Linked DNA regions of Yarrowia lipolytica. The protein of the gene in region 2 purifies or fractionates together with the protein of the main gene of each other region. This does not show direct contact. Links are inferred from orthologs where the notes say so. Each region holds a gene or a part of one and is shown on either strand. Other genes may lie near its edges.

The links. Proteins that work in one complex are often made in the same cells at the same time.
Region 1: the proteins of YALI1_B09333g (region 2) and YALI1_D35126g purify together in Saccharomyces cerevisiae (affinity purification with western blotting; 3 studies listed by BioGRID, with this or other methods). This does not show direct contact. The link is inferred for Yarrowia lipolytica from reciprocal best matches to the Saccharomyces cerevisiae genes SEN2 and SEN15.

The regions. Positions count from the first base shown.
Region 1 is NC_090773.1:3,508,947-3,516,804, reverse strand, and holds YALI1_D35126g (uncharacterized protein), read right to left. Parts: upstream 4,267-7,858; coding exon 3,943-4,266; downstream 1-3,942. Other genes in the region: YALI1_D35148g (uncharacterized protein), read right to left, coding at 1-1,706, 1,815-2,075; YALI1_D35143g (uncharacterized protein), read left to right, coding at 2,602-3,753; YALI1_D35119g (uncharacterized protein), read left to right, coding at 4,933-6,126; YALI1_D35096g (uncharacterized protein), read left to right, coding at 7,248-7,858.
Region 2 is NC_090771.1:929,486-938,073, forward strand, and holds YALI1_B09333g (uncharacterized protein), read right to left. Parts: upstream 3,914-8,588; coding exon 2,885-3,913; downstream 1-2,884. Other genes in the region: YALI1_B09299g (uncharacterized protein), read left to right, coding at 470-1,222; YALI1_B09310g (uncharacterized protein), read left to right, coding at 1,532-1,661, 1,787-2,022; YALI1_B09316g (uncharacterized protein), read right to left, coding at 2,076-2,164, 2,212-2,362; YALI1_B09320g (uncharacterized protein), read right to left, coding at 2,370-2,536, 2,599-2,830; YALI1_B09367g (uncharacterized protein), read right to left, coding at 6,448-7,308. UniProt on the Saccharomyces cerevisiae protein: Constitutes one of the two catalytic subunit of the tRNA-splicing endonuclease complex, a complex responsible for identification and cleavage of the splice sites in pre-tRNA. It cleaves pre-tRNA at the 5'- and 3'-splice sites to release the intron.

The DNA of each region.
Region 1 (7,858 bases), on a different chromosome or scaffold from region 2:
GGGAAGGCCTTCCGAAGCCGCTTGACCACGTTAACAATCTCGTTTTGGCCAGTCAGGAAGATCAGAATACCACCATCGGGCAGTCGTTTGTGGATCTTGCAGGTCTTTCGGTAGATCTCGTCCATGTAGTCGTAAGTTGTTCGTTTGTTGAAGTGGACAGAAACGGGATATTGTCGGGCCTCAACCTTGAGAACAGGAGGAGGAACTGGGAAAAGAGTCTTGTTCTCTGTGAAATCGGAAACCCGCAGAGTAGCAGACATGATAATGAGCTTGAGGGGAGACTCGCACTTGCCTTCGTTGAACATCTCCTTTCGCAACTTGAGAACTCGAGAAAGCACACCAATGAGAATATCAGTGTTGATGTTACGTTCATGGGCCTCATCAATTACCAGAGCAGAGTACTTGGTAAGAGCAAAGTCTTGGGACAGTTCTCGCAGCAACACACCATCAGTCATGAACTTGAGAGCTGTATTATCCTTCACGGTGACATCGAATCGCACCTGATGGGCAACTCTATCACCTTGGTTACCCAACTCGTTAGCAACACGTTGCGCCATAGAGATGGCGGCCACTCGTCGAGGCTGGGTGACACCGATCATACCAGGGTAGTCACTACCCTTCGTTCCGAAACCCGCCTCGATCAGGAATTGAGGAGTCTGTGTAGTCTTACCTGAACCAGTTTCACCACAGATGATGACACAATCGTTGTTGAAAATGGCTTCCATGATTCTCTGTTCTTCTCCGGTGACAGGAAGGTTCATTCGGGAGGTCTGGATTTCAGGGTCTCGCTGAACGTTGACATAAAAGGCCTTTCTTTTGGCGTACTCGGGTTGGGCAATGTCTTCGGGAGGAGGAGTAAGGCGGTCCTCGTCTCTGTCCACTCTTTCTTTCTTGATCTTGATATGCGAGAGATCCTCGATGTTGGAAGACTTGGGTCCAGACTGTTCATCGATCCATTCCTTGAAAGAAGAACCCTTTGTCTTTTTGGTGACGATTTCGGTATACTCGTCATCTTCCTCGTCTTCCTCTTCCTCGTCCTCATCTTCGTCCTCATCTTCGTCCTCATCCTCCTCCTCCTGCTCGTCTTCATCTTCTTCCTCTTCCTCGACATCTTCCTCGATCTCCTCCTCGGCAGCCGCCTTCACTTTTTTGGTGCCTTCCTCTTCTGACTCCTCAGACTCCTCATCCGAATCCTCGTCTGAATCTTCGTCAGAATCCTCCTCATCAGAATCGGTATCGTCGTCCTCCCCGGAGCTAACGTAGTCCTTCTTGTTCTTTCGAGCACGCTCAATCTCGAGCTTCTTTCGCCAAGAGTAAGAGTTTTTTGCGGGCTTGGAAACCTTGGCCAGGTTCTGGAAACCGAAACCACCACCAGCCTTGGGTCGCATGTCAATGAATGAGCTTTTGTTCTCCTGCTCTTCCTCTTCGGCCATTTGCTTCTCCTTTCGCTCCAGCTCAGTCAGGAGATGAGAATGCTTCTCGTCATCCCACTCTTCGTGATCGTGTTTCTCGTACAGAATCTCCTTGGTCTCCTCATTACCGAGACCCAGTTTCTCCAGACGCAAAGCTTCCTCGATCCGGGCTTTTTTGGTTTCCTTGTCACCCATGTGTTTCATAGACTTGAGCTGAGATGTATCAAAGGTGCCCTTTCGAGCAGCAAACTCGGAAAACAATGCCTTCTTCTCTTCTCTCTTGAGTTGTTTTTCCTGAGTTAGTATGTAATCATAAGCGCAGCGAATGTCCTTGGTTCAGCTAATCTGGTTCAGCTAATCTGGTTAAGCTAAACCTGCGACGTATCCTCGTGTCATACTCACAATGTACTTGTCTAGACGCTTTCGCTTCTTTGAAGTCATCTTGCTCTCCGTAGGTGTGAGCTCTTCCTGGAGCTTTCTCTTTCGAGCCTCCTTCTCGGCCTCACTCTTGGGCACCATGAGCTCGGCATTGGCGTCTTCTTCCTCCTCCTCTGCTGTAGGCTTCTTGACCCAGGTTTTCTGCTTGGCGGCCTTGAGCTCCTGCTGCTTCTTCAGCGAGCCGGCTCGGGCCTTTGCGTTGTATCCTAGCTTGTATTTCGCCATAGTTGAAGCGATGGGTTGAATCAGCTTCACGCAGGTTATGCTATATTGCCCAATTTTTTCTGATTGTGCATGATGTATGCGCGGTCATGTGATGTGGCTGTTGGGAGGAGACAGGTTCTTTTTCTATAATAACTTGAAGTAAATGTTCACGTAATATATGTTTTTCTTTGAGAGTCTCAGTTATAAACCAAACTGCAGTTCACATAATTATAAACAATAAAATTTTGGTTCCCAAAAATTGGCATCGATTTTTGAGGGGCGAAAATAGTACGAGCCGCAAGTGAGGTGGTCTCAGTAGAAAAATGAAAGGTGTAATTAAAAGAGACACATTTATATTAAATGATGGTTACATAGTGTGCACACTGAGCCCTAGTATGTTATACACCATTCTCGTTAGTAATTGCTCTACAAGTAATCTATTACACATCCGCCTCATGGGTCTTTAAGCGCGACGTTGAAGCGTGCATGACTGTTCTGTGGTGACGAGAAACGAAGTCCTTCAACATAGACAACATCTTCTCCTGGCATGCCAACACTAATGCACGACGACCCCTTGGACGATGAGGAGGAAGAAGAGCCTCCACGAAACATTGGACGGGTGGTCTTTGGCCCTCGTGAATTCGACACGTGGTACCACTCGTCGGCATACTATTTTTCACAGAAGGACGAACTCAAGAAGTTGACCTGGAAGCGGGCCATGGCGTTGATGGAGGCCAAGGCCCTCGACAAGGACAAGGACAATCACACCTGCGACATGTCCCGGCTCTTCATTGAGCGCTACAGCTCTCCGTCTGTTGGCACACCTGGAGGAACCTCTTCTGCATTAACATCCTCAACCATTTCGTCCTCTGGATCATCAGCAAACGCATCTGTGGCCCCCAATGACCAACCACCAGCCCAGGTCGACTTCCAGGTCAAACAGCTGTTTGTCTGCGACTCGTGTTTCAAATACTCGAAGGTCTCCAAGGACATGGCCCAACACCGAAGCACCTGCAAGTATGTGTTCAAGCACCCCGGAGAGACGGTTTACAAATCGAAAGACTATGCCATTCGCCGTGTTGATGGCGCCGTTCACAAGCTCTACTGCCAGAATCTCTGTCTGTTCGCGAAGCTCTTCCTGGACCACAAGTCTGTGTTCTTCGGCGCCGATGCCTTTGAATTTTATGTTGTGCTCGGCAAGGATACCGCCAGCAGCAGGCACTTTAAACCCATGGGCTTCTTCTCCAAGGAGAAACTGTCGTGGGACGAAAACAATCTGGCTTGCATTCTGGTATTTCCTCCGTATCAAAGGCGAGGGCTGGGCAAACTGCTGATCGAGTTTTCATACGTGCTGTCGAAGTACGAAGGCCGTAAAGGAAGTCCAGAGCGACCGCTGTCGAAGTTCGGCACTTTATCATATATGTCTTACTGGTGTACTACGATAGCCCGGTTCATCTTGATAGAGTGTACAGAAGACGTCATCACGATTGAGACGATCAGCGAACATACTTATATCCAGCCGGAAGATGTGATGCGAGCACTCAAAGAAATGCATGCTGTAGTTCTCTACAGCGACGAAAAAGCCAAGAAGGTACAACTGGGAGGACGGGTTTTGAAGAAATCTGTTAGACGTTGGGTTAACAGTGGCAATGTGAAACTGAGCCCTGTGATTGACGAATCCATGGTGTTTTTGGAGTGACAAAGATGGAAGTTGATGTTACAGTCAAGACCTATTTAAGCCGCGAGCTACAGGTCTTCTGGCTGACTGGGTGCTACATTACTATGCCCCAGACCATATTGTTTCATGTAATGTACATATATTTATAATGCAAGGTGATAATGCCTGGACCGGGATCATAACGGAACAGGGTGTATAATAGTTGTGAATCTAGTTCTTTCGAGGCTTGACCAGACCCTTGTAGACGAAGTAGTAGACGATGGTGGAGTCATTGTCCACGATGGCCATTAGCATGCGATCGACGTCTTTTCCAGCCACACCCTCAGCCTCGCGAAAACACTCGTCCCACTGCTTGATAGTCCAGTCGTCGTTGGATCTGGCAGGTACTAGCCATTCCGATCTGATCTCAGCGTCATCAGGGTGCAAAGTCCTGGGTGGAGTTCCATGCACCAGGTCTGTGAGCTTAGTCTGGTGGATGACCACGTCGCTCCACAGATGCTGATGAACAAGGTTGGTTCTTATTTGTTCAGCCATGGTGAATGTGTGATTGATAGTGGTTGTTTTGTTCAGTATCTGTGCCAGTCGTCTACCACTAACTTTTTCTGCTTACTGTGCGTCTCAAAGTTTCTGCGGGCGCGTTATCTCCGTCGGATTTAATTTTTAACGGTCCTAGGAAAATCTGCATATGCTGGAAAATACTCGTGTTTGGGAGAAGACTTGGGTGCCACCAAAAACCTGGATTAGGCTCAGAACTCTACAAGTCCGGGAAACGTAACACTGAGATACGACTGGCGAAAGCGAGGCGGCGGTAAGTCCGTGAATATAATGCTTATTGACCGTTTGAGGGCGTTTAATATGTTGATTCACTGTTATGAACATTTTTGCTGCTCGAACGCACGTTTTACGCCTCCAAACGCCCGACTTTTCACCCGTTTCTCCTCCCAGCCGTACAAACATTCTGCTTATACTTCATGTATCTCATTTTTTGAGCTAAATCACGCATCAGGTTTAAAAACACACATCACCCTCCAACAGTCTTCCTAACACACCTGTGAAGTCACGACCATTTTCGCCACCGCCTAAAAACACGTTGAAAACAAGAGTATTTGAGCTCAGCATCTGCCCTAGTGCCCCCCAAACCCGCATTCGCACGCTACATCGCATAGCCTCAACACACGTGTAACACTACTGTACACAACAATGAAATTCTCGGTACTTCTTCTTGCCGGAGCCGTTCTGGCGCTGCCAACAGCTACCGTGGTAAACACCGAAGCCATCGACTACTCGACCATCACAGATTTGCCCGGATCCGAGCCCACAGACGTGTCTGACCTCGAGAAGCGAGCAGACCCCTTTAAGCGACCCCCCAAGGTGTTCTCCAAGAAAACTAAAATCACAAAGGCCCATGTGACCAAGCCGTGGCTGCTGAAGCCCACAGATGGAGGTGAACCCATGCATGTCACCCCCACCGTCTGGGGAGACGCGCTTTTCCGAGGCCAGCGACAGGTGGGTGCTGTTCCCAACCCTTGGATCAAGCTGAAGAAGGACGGTCAGGCCAAGACCATCACTCCCAAGGTGGTCAAAGGAAAGACTAAGAATGCTCCTCCTGAGTATGGAGACTGGTTCCACGTCAACCGAGACGTGACTGAGAACGCTCGTTCTGCTGGCTACAAGACCGCTCACCCTACTGATGTCGTGGTCCACAATGAGATGTTGGACGAGGAGGATCCCATCGAGGCCTCCTTCAACCCTGTTGAGCGATGCACACCCGAGAAGTTTATCAAGGTGAAGAAGCAGCGAGTTGGCCCCTGGTGCTCCCCTCAATACGGAAAGGGTGTCATGCTTGATCACGTCCACTGGTTCACCTGGTACACCCGAGAATTCCCCGACGCCGAGAAGGTCCGACTCCACTGCGCATACATTCAGGGTAAGGCTCTGCACAAGCGAGAAATTGAGGACAGCAGTGTCTTCCACATCACCGAATGGGTGTCAAACACCTGGGGAGTCTACCCTATGGAGATTGAGGAGGAGTGGCTCGATGGCGAGTACGAGCAGAAGGTTGCCGTTGCTATCCAGCCTGACTACATGGATGACGACGAGATCACCGATGACTATCTTCTGAAGAACTCTACTTTTGTGCGATTCCGACGAGGTGCCATCGTGCAGAAGAAGGACAAGGGACGACTTGATTTGGACAAGAACGAGGAGGGCATGATGATCACCATCATCACCATCCCCTCTGTTGTCGTCATTTTCGCCTGTATCTATGTCCTGTTCACACAGATCACTGCTGGAGCTCGGGCCATCCCCAAGTTCAAGAACCAGCGACGGCGAAAGGATGGCCGGCAGTACGAGAACATCAAGCTGCAGAACCAGCGACGACGACTCGACTAAATCAGTCTCTGACACTCTCACAATCGATAAAAAATGGTTGGTCCTCCTTTAGAATTTACCTCCCCTTGTTAGCATAATAATAATCCCGTTTCTTTAGCCCTCGTAGATACAGGTTGTTTCGTATATATCCCGTTGGTTCAACCCCACACGAGGGCACCATATCAAGCCGACTTTTGAAGACTTGGTGGAGCGAGGTCCACGAAGCCAAGACAGATACAGGTCGTACATACATATGTATATACAGTCGATATCTTATACTCAGACATGTGTCGTTTGTGTTCGATGTACTGACACAACTAAGGGTTATACTGGTTCGTGCCTGGACTGCATGCATAACCGTTGTATAAAGTTGTGTCTACCAAGCATGTGTTCCGTTTCCCAGACAGATTGTTTGGGGTTTGGGGCGGTTGGAACTTGGTCGGAGGTTATATAGAGCGCATTATTGGAGGCTTTGTGTTGGATTTATGGACCCTTTTCTCTCAAATTACCGTTATGACGCCACCCAGATGAGTAAGCATGGCGACAACGTTCTTTCCTGCCCTGTAAATCCACACGTTTTCTGCCACCTCAAATTGAAACTCACTGTCCATCACAACAACCGTTTGCGAGATATACTTTGCGTGATTGGGGATATGGGGATATATATAAGGATTCAAGAAGAGTGTATTCGTACACAGCGGGTCCATTTTTATCTCGGTTTCACTTTAATTAACGGGGGGAGCAGCATTATTTCATGTTGTGTCTACTGGTAGCCCCGCGTTGTCTTGCCTGGCTGCAGCATTTTAATCTGCGCAGAAAAAAAAAAAGCATCGTTGTTGGGAAAAAAGACGACGCACAAACCGAGCTTCGTGTTACAGTAACCCTGGATCGTGTGAAGAGGCACGTGTAGCAAAAAACCAGACGCACAGAGGGGAAATCAAAACGGCTGAGTCAGCTATTTTTATTCCTCGCTCAAAAGAAGACCATTTTATGGTGCCGTTGGGGTAAAAAAGTCGTCTAGTCATTATGCTGACCAACCTCCATCCTCACCCATGCATGCCAGCGGCTGTGCATGATTATAACCTTCGTAAGCACACCATCTGGAAGAACATCACCAGTCGCTCAACGCAACAACACCACACATGGAAAAAGACGAAGGGACGGGGACCCTGAGAGGCGCGACGGTCAAGACGGTGGTCACCGCGTCGATACCGTCGGAAGACAGCTCGAAAACCCTGATCACAGAACCTCTGAGGGCCAAACGATCCTTCAAACAATGGCTCTACCTGCTATCGCATGTGCTGCTCATCGTCTTCATTATCGGCTTTATGGTCGTATCTCCGATCGACATTATCACCCAGTCGCGACAAACCAACCAGTTCTGGAACGGCGCTATCGTCATTGCTGGTTGTGTCATCTTCATCTTTCTAGCATTACTACTTTCGTTTCTACGACTGTTTCGAACCCGACAAAACCTCTCAGATATCCCGCGACGCTACGTGCCTCGCCCAGACGACGTGCCCAAAAATATTGCCAAGGAGATCAGAAACGATTTGGACAGATGCAAACAAATCCTACGAGACACGAGACCAATAGAGAAGGTGGCCCATGACGGCCTGGCACCTCCTGACTCGTCAGGAGACATACCTCCAGACGTTCCGTATAAGGATGTTGTTGACACTACGGCATTACTGGTTGATTCGCGCGCCAGAAACATTCACTTTTCGTTTGGAAAACCCGTCGGTATGCCCTT
Region 2 (8,588 bases):
AGTGAGAGATATATATATAATGAAAAAAACACCAACGTCAAGATGGAGAAGTGTTGAACCACCGGTACTGTACTTTACTGTACTTGTTGGATAGACACCTCGCATCACACCCAATCCAGAAAGACCCTCAAGAGTCTGAAGTCTGCTGTTTCTGTTCATCTCTTTTCCTGAATGGCTGACCGTAGATCCTACACATACTTAACAATATTACTTAACAGTAGCATTAGTATCCCAACTAATTATTAATAACTTCAACACGCTGAATATATCGGCGATAAAATAGCCGAAAGGGCCGATTTGCCCGCAAAACATCACAAAAACCATCTCAGGCGGCCATTACTCTCTTTGTCTCTTGATTTTCCTACCATTATACACCCACAAGCATTGTACGATACCGTACTCGTACTGCAGTTAGTGCCCATCCATTGCGCATCATGTCTTTTCCATCACACTCATTCAACCAACCATAATGACTCCACCCATGAATCCGGATATGGACAAGATTCTCCTGTTTGGAGACTCAATTACGCAGTACTCAAGCGACCAGGATCTCACCTTTGCACTCGCCCCGGCCCTTCAACATCTGTACCAGCGCAAAATGGACATTCTCGTCAGAGGATACTCGGGCTACAACACGGACCAGGCGGTCCAGTTTTTCCACCACATTTTGGAGCATGAAAAGGGAATCAAGCTGGTGGTGATTTTCTTCGGGTCCAACGACAGCGCCACCAACGAACAACATGTTCCTCTCGACCGATACAAGGCCAATCTGGAGAAGCTGGCTCAGCAGGCGGTGGACCGCGGTATCAAGGTGATCCTCACGGGTCCCGCGCCCCACGACGAACTGGCTCGAAGAGAAATGTTCAAGGACGAGCCGGGCGTGAACCCGCGGTCGTCACAGCTGCAAAAGAGGTACTCCGAAGCCGCCTGTGAGGTGGCTCTCAAGATGGGTCTTCCTAGCACTAATCTGTGGCACGCTTTTGCTACCGACGCTGGATGGGAGCCCGGAATGCCGTTTCCCAGCACCGTTGAAGGGGAGGGTAACGAGCACGAAACCTCAGTGACCAAGTATCTCAAGGACGGCCTGCATTTTGCCGGACCTGGATACAAGGTGTGGTACGATGAGTTGGTCAAGGTGATTGGGGAGCGGTACCCGGGGCTGAGCGCGGAGAATCTACCCATGGTGATGCCTTTGTGGAGGGAGTTTTACGGCACTAGTTGAACAACTTGGTTCGAACAAGCGATATTTATACTGGATAGACGTTGACAGTGGCACCACAAAGGTATACTGAATATAGATGTTAACGACGGTAGACAGAAGACCTTGATGATAGAACTGATGATGTGGGATGGTCAATTAGATGTCGAGAATATCGAAAATCGGTTTTTTTCGCCCTTTTGACATTTATCGGAATATTCCAAAAATACTCCAAAAATCAACTTAAATTCCTCCGTGATTGGGTTCGAGATGCACTACAAGTAGTGAAATACTGACGTGTCTCTACACCACCACCCGGTACCACACTCCAACATGCGACCAACAGTGATTTTGACATGTGCGGCGGCCGCGCACGCCCAGATTTTCGGCAACTTTTTCAACCAGATGCTCAAGAAGGAGTTTGCCGTCGAGGAGTCCTGGCACAACCAGGAGTATCACAAGGGTGAGTAGCTGAATGGAGTGAGAGTGGAGTGACCGCTGGGAAGAGCCAGGTTACCTATCAGATGGCCGTACAAACATAACCCAGACATGGCGGCTTGGTAATCAATCCATCATCTACTAACCCAGTCTCGTGTGATAACGGCCACGTATGCCCCGATACCCTCACATGCGTCAACTCGCCACTGGAGTGCCCGTGCCAGTTCCCCGCGTCGGAAATCAAGTGCGTGTATCCCGACAAGTCCGGCTACGTGTGCATCTCCAAGCCTGGCGACGGCTACGACGGATCTGACGCCTCCTCCAAGGCCGAGGACGGCAAGAGAGATTGTGCGTGGGTCAACAAGGCCTTTCGAGGAGAGCTCTAGTGTATTATAGAATAGAATGTATTTATAGAGAGATTGTGGGAGCGATTGTAAGTCTAGGAGGTAGTATGAATACGATACTGCGATGTCTTGGACGTTTCACCTACATTGATATGGACTGACAAATGTACAGCAGGAGTTATGACTTCAGCTCACAAATCGATGCCAACTATTCTCTACACGCCGTAATACATGTCCTGAAACCATCCCCAACAAGTGATATGTACATGAATAAATATTCGCCTGTAAACCACAGTCTAGATCGAGATCGATAAATCCGTTCTAGAGGGGTGGATGTAAGAGATCTCCGTGGATAAGGAACTATTGAGCTGAAGAAGTCCATACATATGTCAACGGTGACGATATACTGGAGGAAAAGAGATGATATGACGAAGGAACTGTTGCTTCTGGTTGAAACTAATGGTTACTTGTTCGATCTCCGTGGATTCCAATTCAGGATCTCTGGCTCCATCTTCTAAAGTACAGACTTGAAATTGGTGGCGCTTGTGGGTCTTTGCTGATTGGCGTCACGCCTGCGAGATTCAATGGGCAGTGACCAAGACCTTGGGTCTGTTCAACGGCATTGTTGCTGGTGGGGACAAGCACGGTTCTGGTGTGAATGTTGCTGGTGGAGTTTCTGGTGAAGAATGTTGCTGGTGAAGTTGCTGGTGAAGTTGCTGGTGAAGTTTCTGGTGAAGTTTCTGGTGAGGTTTCTGGTGAAGTTTCTGGTGAAGTTTCTGGTGAAGTTTCTGGTGAAGTTTCTGGTGAGGTTTCTGGTGAAGTTTCTGGTGAAGTCTCTGGTGAAGAACATTCTGAGAGTTCCGGCATATCCGTTCAAATCTCACTCTGTCACCCGCCACCGCCGCTAGTCCCGATTCCTCGAGGGAATCCACCGCCTATACACCACCTCTCGCACCTTGAACTGCTTCAACACCTCCACCAGCTTGGCATCATCGACAACGCCCTCGACCTTTGGCACATCCACAAAACAAAAGACAGTGGTCTTCTTGACTCCGCCAATGACTCGACACAGGTTCGACTGCCACCAAAAGTCGGGCATGGGCTCGTCCTTAGGCATCACCTTGATGCAGAACTCGGCATGGGTGAACGGAGGACCCTTCTTGTACAGCAGAAAGTCGGCTCCAAACTTGATGCCCGACCGAACGCACCAACCTAGCGATCGGTAGTGGTGGTAGACGGCGTAATAGGTCAGAAACCGAGGGTCCTTGCGGGTGAACTCGTCAACCATGGCCTTCACATCCATGTCGCCGACCTTGAGTCCAAACGCCATGTGAAGAAACAGCGCCTCCACGTCCATGAGCTGTAGAAACTCGATATCCACGAGGTTGCCCAGCGAATCCACCACCTCGTCGTCTTCCGTTCGTTTCTCCATTTCGTAAGACTTGGCGAGAAACGCGTCCCGATCAAACTCCGGACGAACAGGCTTGTCGTCTTCATTCTTGTCAGCCACCGCCAGACCCCGATCAATGTCCTGGCGTCTCTTGAGCTCCTCCTCCTCGGCCTTGGCTCGCTCGGCTTTGAAATGCTGCCGCTGCTCTCGTCGGAACTGAGTCACCTCTTCAGGGGCATACACCCCCTCCTCCACATGGAGACCCAGACGTCTCTTGGTTCGAATGTCCCACGAGGGCTCGGACCGAGACAAGATGCCCTTGCCAAAGAAGCCCATCTTCCACAGACCCTCGCGAGCGTCTCCAACGGCCCGAACTACACCATCAACATACTCGGCGGTATACTCTGGGCTTGTATTGCCGGCAAAGATCCATCTACAGAGAAAATACAACACCGAGATGGGATTGTGTATCACCGGTGGCACGACATCCACCACATACGGGTATGGATGGGGGTATAACGCGTTCAAGTTTTGTTTTTTCATTACACAAATTGGCGCTGTGCGAGCTCAACGACGGCGGACTTTGGTTAGTAAGGCGGAAAAAAAGGCAACAAGGGCAGAATCACAAAAATCAGATACCGTTGTAGTCTATAAGAAATCACTCTCAGGAGTTCAAGAAAGGTTTTCGATATCATCATGTCAAGAGGAAGAGCATTGTGCGCGCGACTGTGTGCTGTGCGCTGTGCGCTGTGCGCTCTCCCTGTTTGTGTCGGTTGGTACTCACCAATGGGCTCTGTGGTTATGACGACAAGGGGTGGATTTTTTCTGCTTTATAACTACCCACCGCGGTTACCCGGGGGTTGGGAGTTCTGAAATATGTGTGTAAGACTGGTGTTTACTATGGGGTAGGGAGGGGGTGTATAGGGCACGATAGGGTGGGCATTTTTGGAATTTTGAAATTGGAGACGGTAGCAAACGGCAAGGAGAACTTGGGTTTCAAAAATCACGTCTTGAGCTTCACAGGATCATGTTTTTCAGATGGGGTGTTAGTTGGCACTCTATAGTCTTAGCTCATAACCTATAACAAGTATGTATGATTGACATACAAGACGCCTGGAGCTCTCGAACGGGCCAAAAAAGAAGCCGACAAAAAGATAGGTCGTACCCGGACTCGAACCGGGGTTACTGGAAGTTAGCTGAGCTTTCGTCAGAATCCAAGGTGATAACCACTACACTATACAACCGAAAGTTGGGGCAAGGTTCGATAGGGGAGTTTTTGAGAAGGAAGGGAGAAAATTAAATCATATTTAGAATAAAAAAATCATAAAAAAGAATAAAAAAACATCCCATTTTAGGGAAGATTAGGAGGCGAAGGAGGAATACCGGAGTTTCAGCTTGATTTTTGACGGCGAGTAGTGCTAGATAAGACTTTATCTGGTCAGATTTGAACGTCTCTGATGTGTATTGATATGGGTCCATGGACTTGAATTAATTACTTGAGCATCAGTAAATAGACTCAATTGAGATGTGTCAGTCAAGTAAAGGCAACAAAAGTGTTTTCTAGTAATATGTATCTAGAATGATATTATTTTGTATAAAACTACAATTAATTTCTTAAATAAGTATATAGAGTGGATTTAGAGAGTTTTAACCTGATTATTAATGTATTAAACTACTAAAAAGAGTACTTTTACAAGTACGTATTCGGATTTTTTCAATTTCTTAACTAAACTTAAGTAGTATATTGATATCTTCAACTCGCCTAATAAACAACTCATACAAAGTCTTGAAGTTTCTGGGAAGTCATAATGATTCCAAAAATCTATTGGGACGTTATATAACCCCTCAACCTCCCGTTATAGACATTCTAATGCAACCCTGTTGGTCTAAATATGCCTGTATGTCGGCATCTAACCCCGAAGGCACCGATGGGATCTTGGGAGCCCGCTAATAGTGGTAATATTGCTCAATTGTCGCCACAAACCAGTTCAATTGACTCCAAATAGCCTGTGTGATTTGATTTCAGGTCGAAAAACACAAGATAGTTACCAGAATATCGAAGTAGCGAGCGCCTTCCAAGTTCTCCAATATGGCGAGCAACGAAACTTGACACGAGGAGCCCGGGCTCTGATACAGCTAGTTGGTCTATCAAAACACATGCTTGAGAACATGTGTGGGCAGCGCTGAAGAAGCTGGAGTCCTTGAACCTGACAGAGGAGATCCATACTCGGATCAGACGAGCGATACTTGGATCAGACAGACGATAGTCGGGTCAGACGGACGAGATCCATACTGGAATCCAACAAGAGAAAGCCACAATCCCAGAGTCCACTTGGGCAGCTTCTTGAAGTGTAGTCTTACTGGGCTGATAGCACCGACTCCAGATTATGGCAACGAATCCAGGTTGAAACCAGATTCAGAAAGCGATATTCAGACTAAGAGATTCTAGTCAAGAAACTCCGAGAAGATGAAAACTGATGGAGACAATCCGCGGTCTGTTTGGAATGTGCCAGGAAGAGTTGATGATGGCCATATTTCAGCTCGAAAATGCACATAGAATATAGAATCACTCTATCCATGGCAATGACCAGAAAGAGTGACTGAAGCCACGGGATTTTTAGTTGAGAAGATCTTGTATCGCAGACAGTCGATTGATTCTAGACAGTCGATTGTCAACTTCCACGAGTGCACGGGTCATGACTCAACTGTAGTACATACTATATTCAAACAGTAGTACAACATCAGAAGCCCTCTTCCAAGACATGAACTCGTATCTGATTTGTGAACTCGTTAATTGTTCAGAAGTTGTCTTCAGAAACCACTCCTAATTGCACATCAATTATATCAAAGCAGACTTCTTGCGTCTTCATAACTACAAGAGAAGTCGTACGTAGTCCACAACTACAAGAGAGTCGTACGTAGTCCCGGAGCATCTCATCTCATCAGATTCATTCATTCATCACATAGCAGCAAGTGTATATTTTAATTCCAGCTAGTTTGAATTGCACAGCGTCGCTCATAAGCATGAGCTGTGTTCAACCATGGCTCCGCTAATTCTGTCGATACTCGCAACGCCGTTAAACAGCACTCACCTTGGCGGTCTTGCTCACATCATCGTAGGCATCGAACCGTCGCTGAGTACCAACAGGGATGTTCTGTCGAGCTGCCGCCAACTCTTCAGGCTCAAGCTCAGCGTAAACCACGGTCTCGTCGACGTCGGCCTCGGCAATAATCTTGCCCAGAGGATCGGACACAAGCGAGTGGCCAAAGGCGTGGTAGCCCGAGTTGAGGTCCTGGGCGGGGGAGCACGCAATGACGTACAGCTGGTTGTCGACGGCTCGGGCTCGGGCAAGCAGATGCCAGTGCAGCGGGCCGGTGGTGGTATTGAAAGCGCCGGGGTAGATCATGGCAAAGGCGCCCTTTCGAGCGGCGGTGGCCGCCACCTCGGGGAACCGGATATCGTAGCAGATGCCCAGGCCGATCTTGCCGTAGCCCTCCATATCGAACAGGGTGATTTTGTCGCCACCGGTCAGGGTCTCGCTTTCCTTGAAGGTGATTTTTCCGGGCACGTCAATGTCGAACAGGTGCAGTTTTCGGTGCTTGCTGATAATGTCGCCGGAGGGAGAGAAGGCCACCGACGTGTTGTAGACCTTGCCAGCGTCGGACTCCGGGTATGAGCCTCCTACCAGGAATAGGTTGTGTTTCTTGGCCAGATCCGACAGAGCCGAGGTGGTTTCGCCATCCGGGATCTTCTCGGCGTATTTGGGGAAGGCCGACACGGCGTAGGGCGAGTTGAAGCATTCGGGGAGGACCACCAGCTTGGCTCCGTTTTTCGCCGCCTCCGCCACCTTGGTGGTCACCTTGGCAATGTTAGCCGCCTTGTCGGCTCCGGCGGCAAACTGGATCAGTGCGACTTTCAGAGACTGCTTGAGAGACATGTTTACAGAGGTTGTAGTAGTTGGTGAAGAAGAGAGAGAGAGTGCGGTGGAGATGTAAGATAAGGTGTGGGGTGGTGTGGTTAGGGTTGGACGGAACGGGGGTCAATTGGCTTGTGAGCGGCTGAAAGACGGCGCAAAAGGTGTTGTAGGGTTAGTAATAGACGGTTTAAACGCTTGGTTTCCCAATTGACCGTTTTTACGGCCCGAAAAGCTGGTTGAACCCTTCCTCGCGCGGCTCTTGTCTGGGTATAGACGGCTCTTGAACTCAGTTGTGGCTTGCAGAAGGGGGTGATTAAGGGCAAAGGGCGCAGAGTGGGGGCGAGTGGGGGCGAGAGTGGGGGCGAAGCCGATAGTCGGAGATTCATTGCAAAATTCATTACTTAGAAGATGGTTGATGTTGGAGTCGATTTGGGAGAATGAGGGGCAGTTCTGAAGTGCTACTGTGTGTTCAATATAAGTAGTTCCTTAACAGAAATTTGTACTGTAGTTAAAAAGTGAATAAGAAGGATGAAAACTCCCAACAGTATATCGACTATACTTGGGACGCTTAACAAATAAGCCAACTGGGGGGGAGGGGAGTTTATGTCCACCCACAATATGGCAATGACAGGTGGATATCAATGTAATTCCATAGTTATTGGTGTATTTGTAATTCACGAGTCGGGGGGAATTCATTGGTATTACCAACATTCCAATATGATATATATTAGTACTTTTTAGTGAATGGATCCTTGGGAATGCTGTTCAGACTTACCATTCTCAACTTGAACGGAGAATGAATCTCCAGAACCTCACCAAGTACAGTACCAAAACAGGACCATTGTAAAGACTTTAGCAATGTATAGTTTCAAAACGCGCATTGTACGAGCCTTGCGTCGCCTTCTACGGTTTATTTCGAGGGATTTATAAGTTTTTCTCGAAATCGCGGCTGATATGAGAGACGTCGACAATGCAGTAGTATTCCGGTTCAACGAGATATAGAAAAGTAGCCGGGACAAAAAGTGACTTCCACAGTACTGTAAAGTACTTTTTCCATCCTGGTTTCTCTGGTTTTTCAACTCCTCTTGGCCAATTGAGCTCTTCTCAGCTGTAAGAAGCTGCATTCTCTTTTCACCACAAGATAGACTGGTCCCCGGAGACCTAGACAGGGCAGAATTGGAGGAACAAGTGACCATTTTCGTAAGAAAATTCTGACAATGGAGCTAAACTCTCTCCGACCAAGAGTATTTCGAAGTCCCGGTGTCTCTACTACGTACGAAAAGTGGAGTGCACTGAGCAGA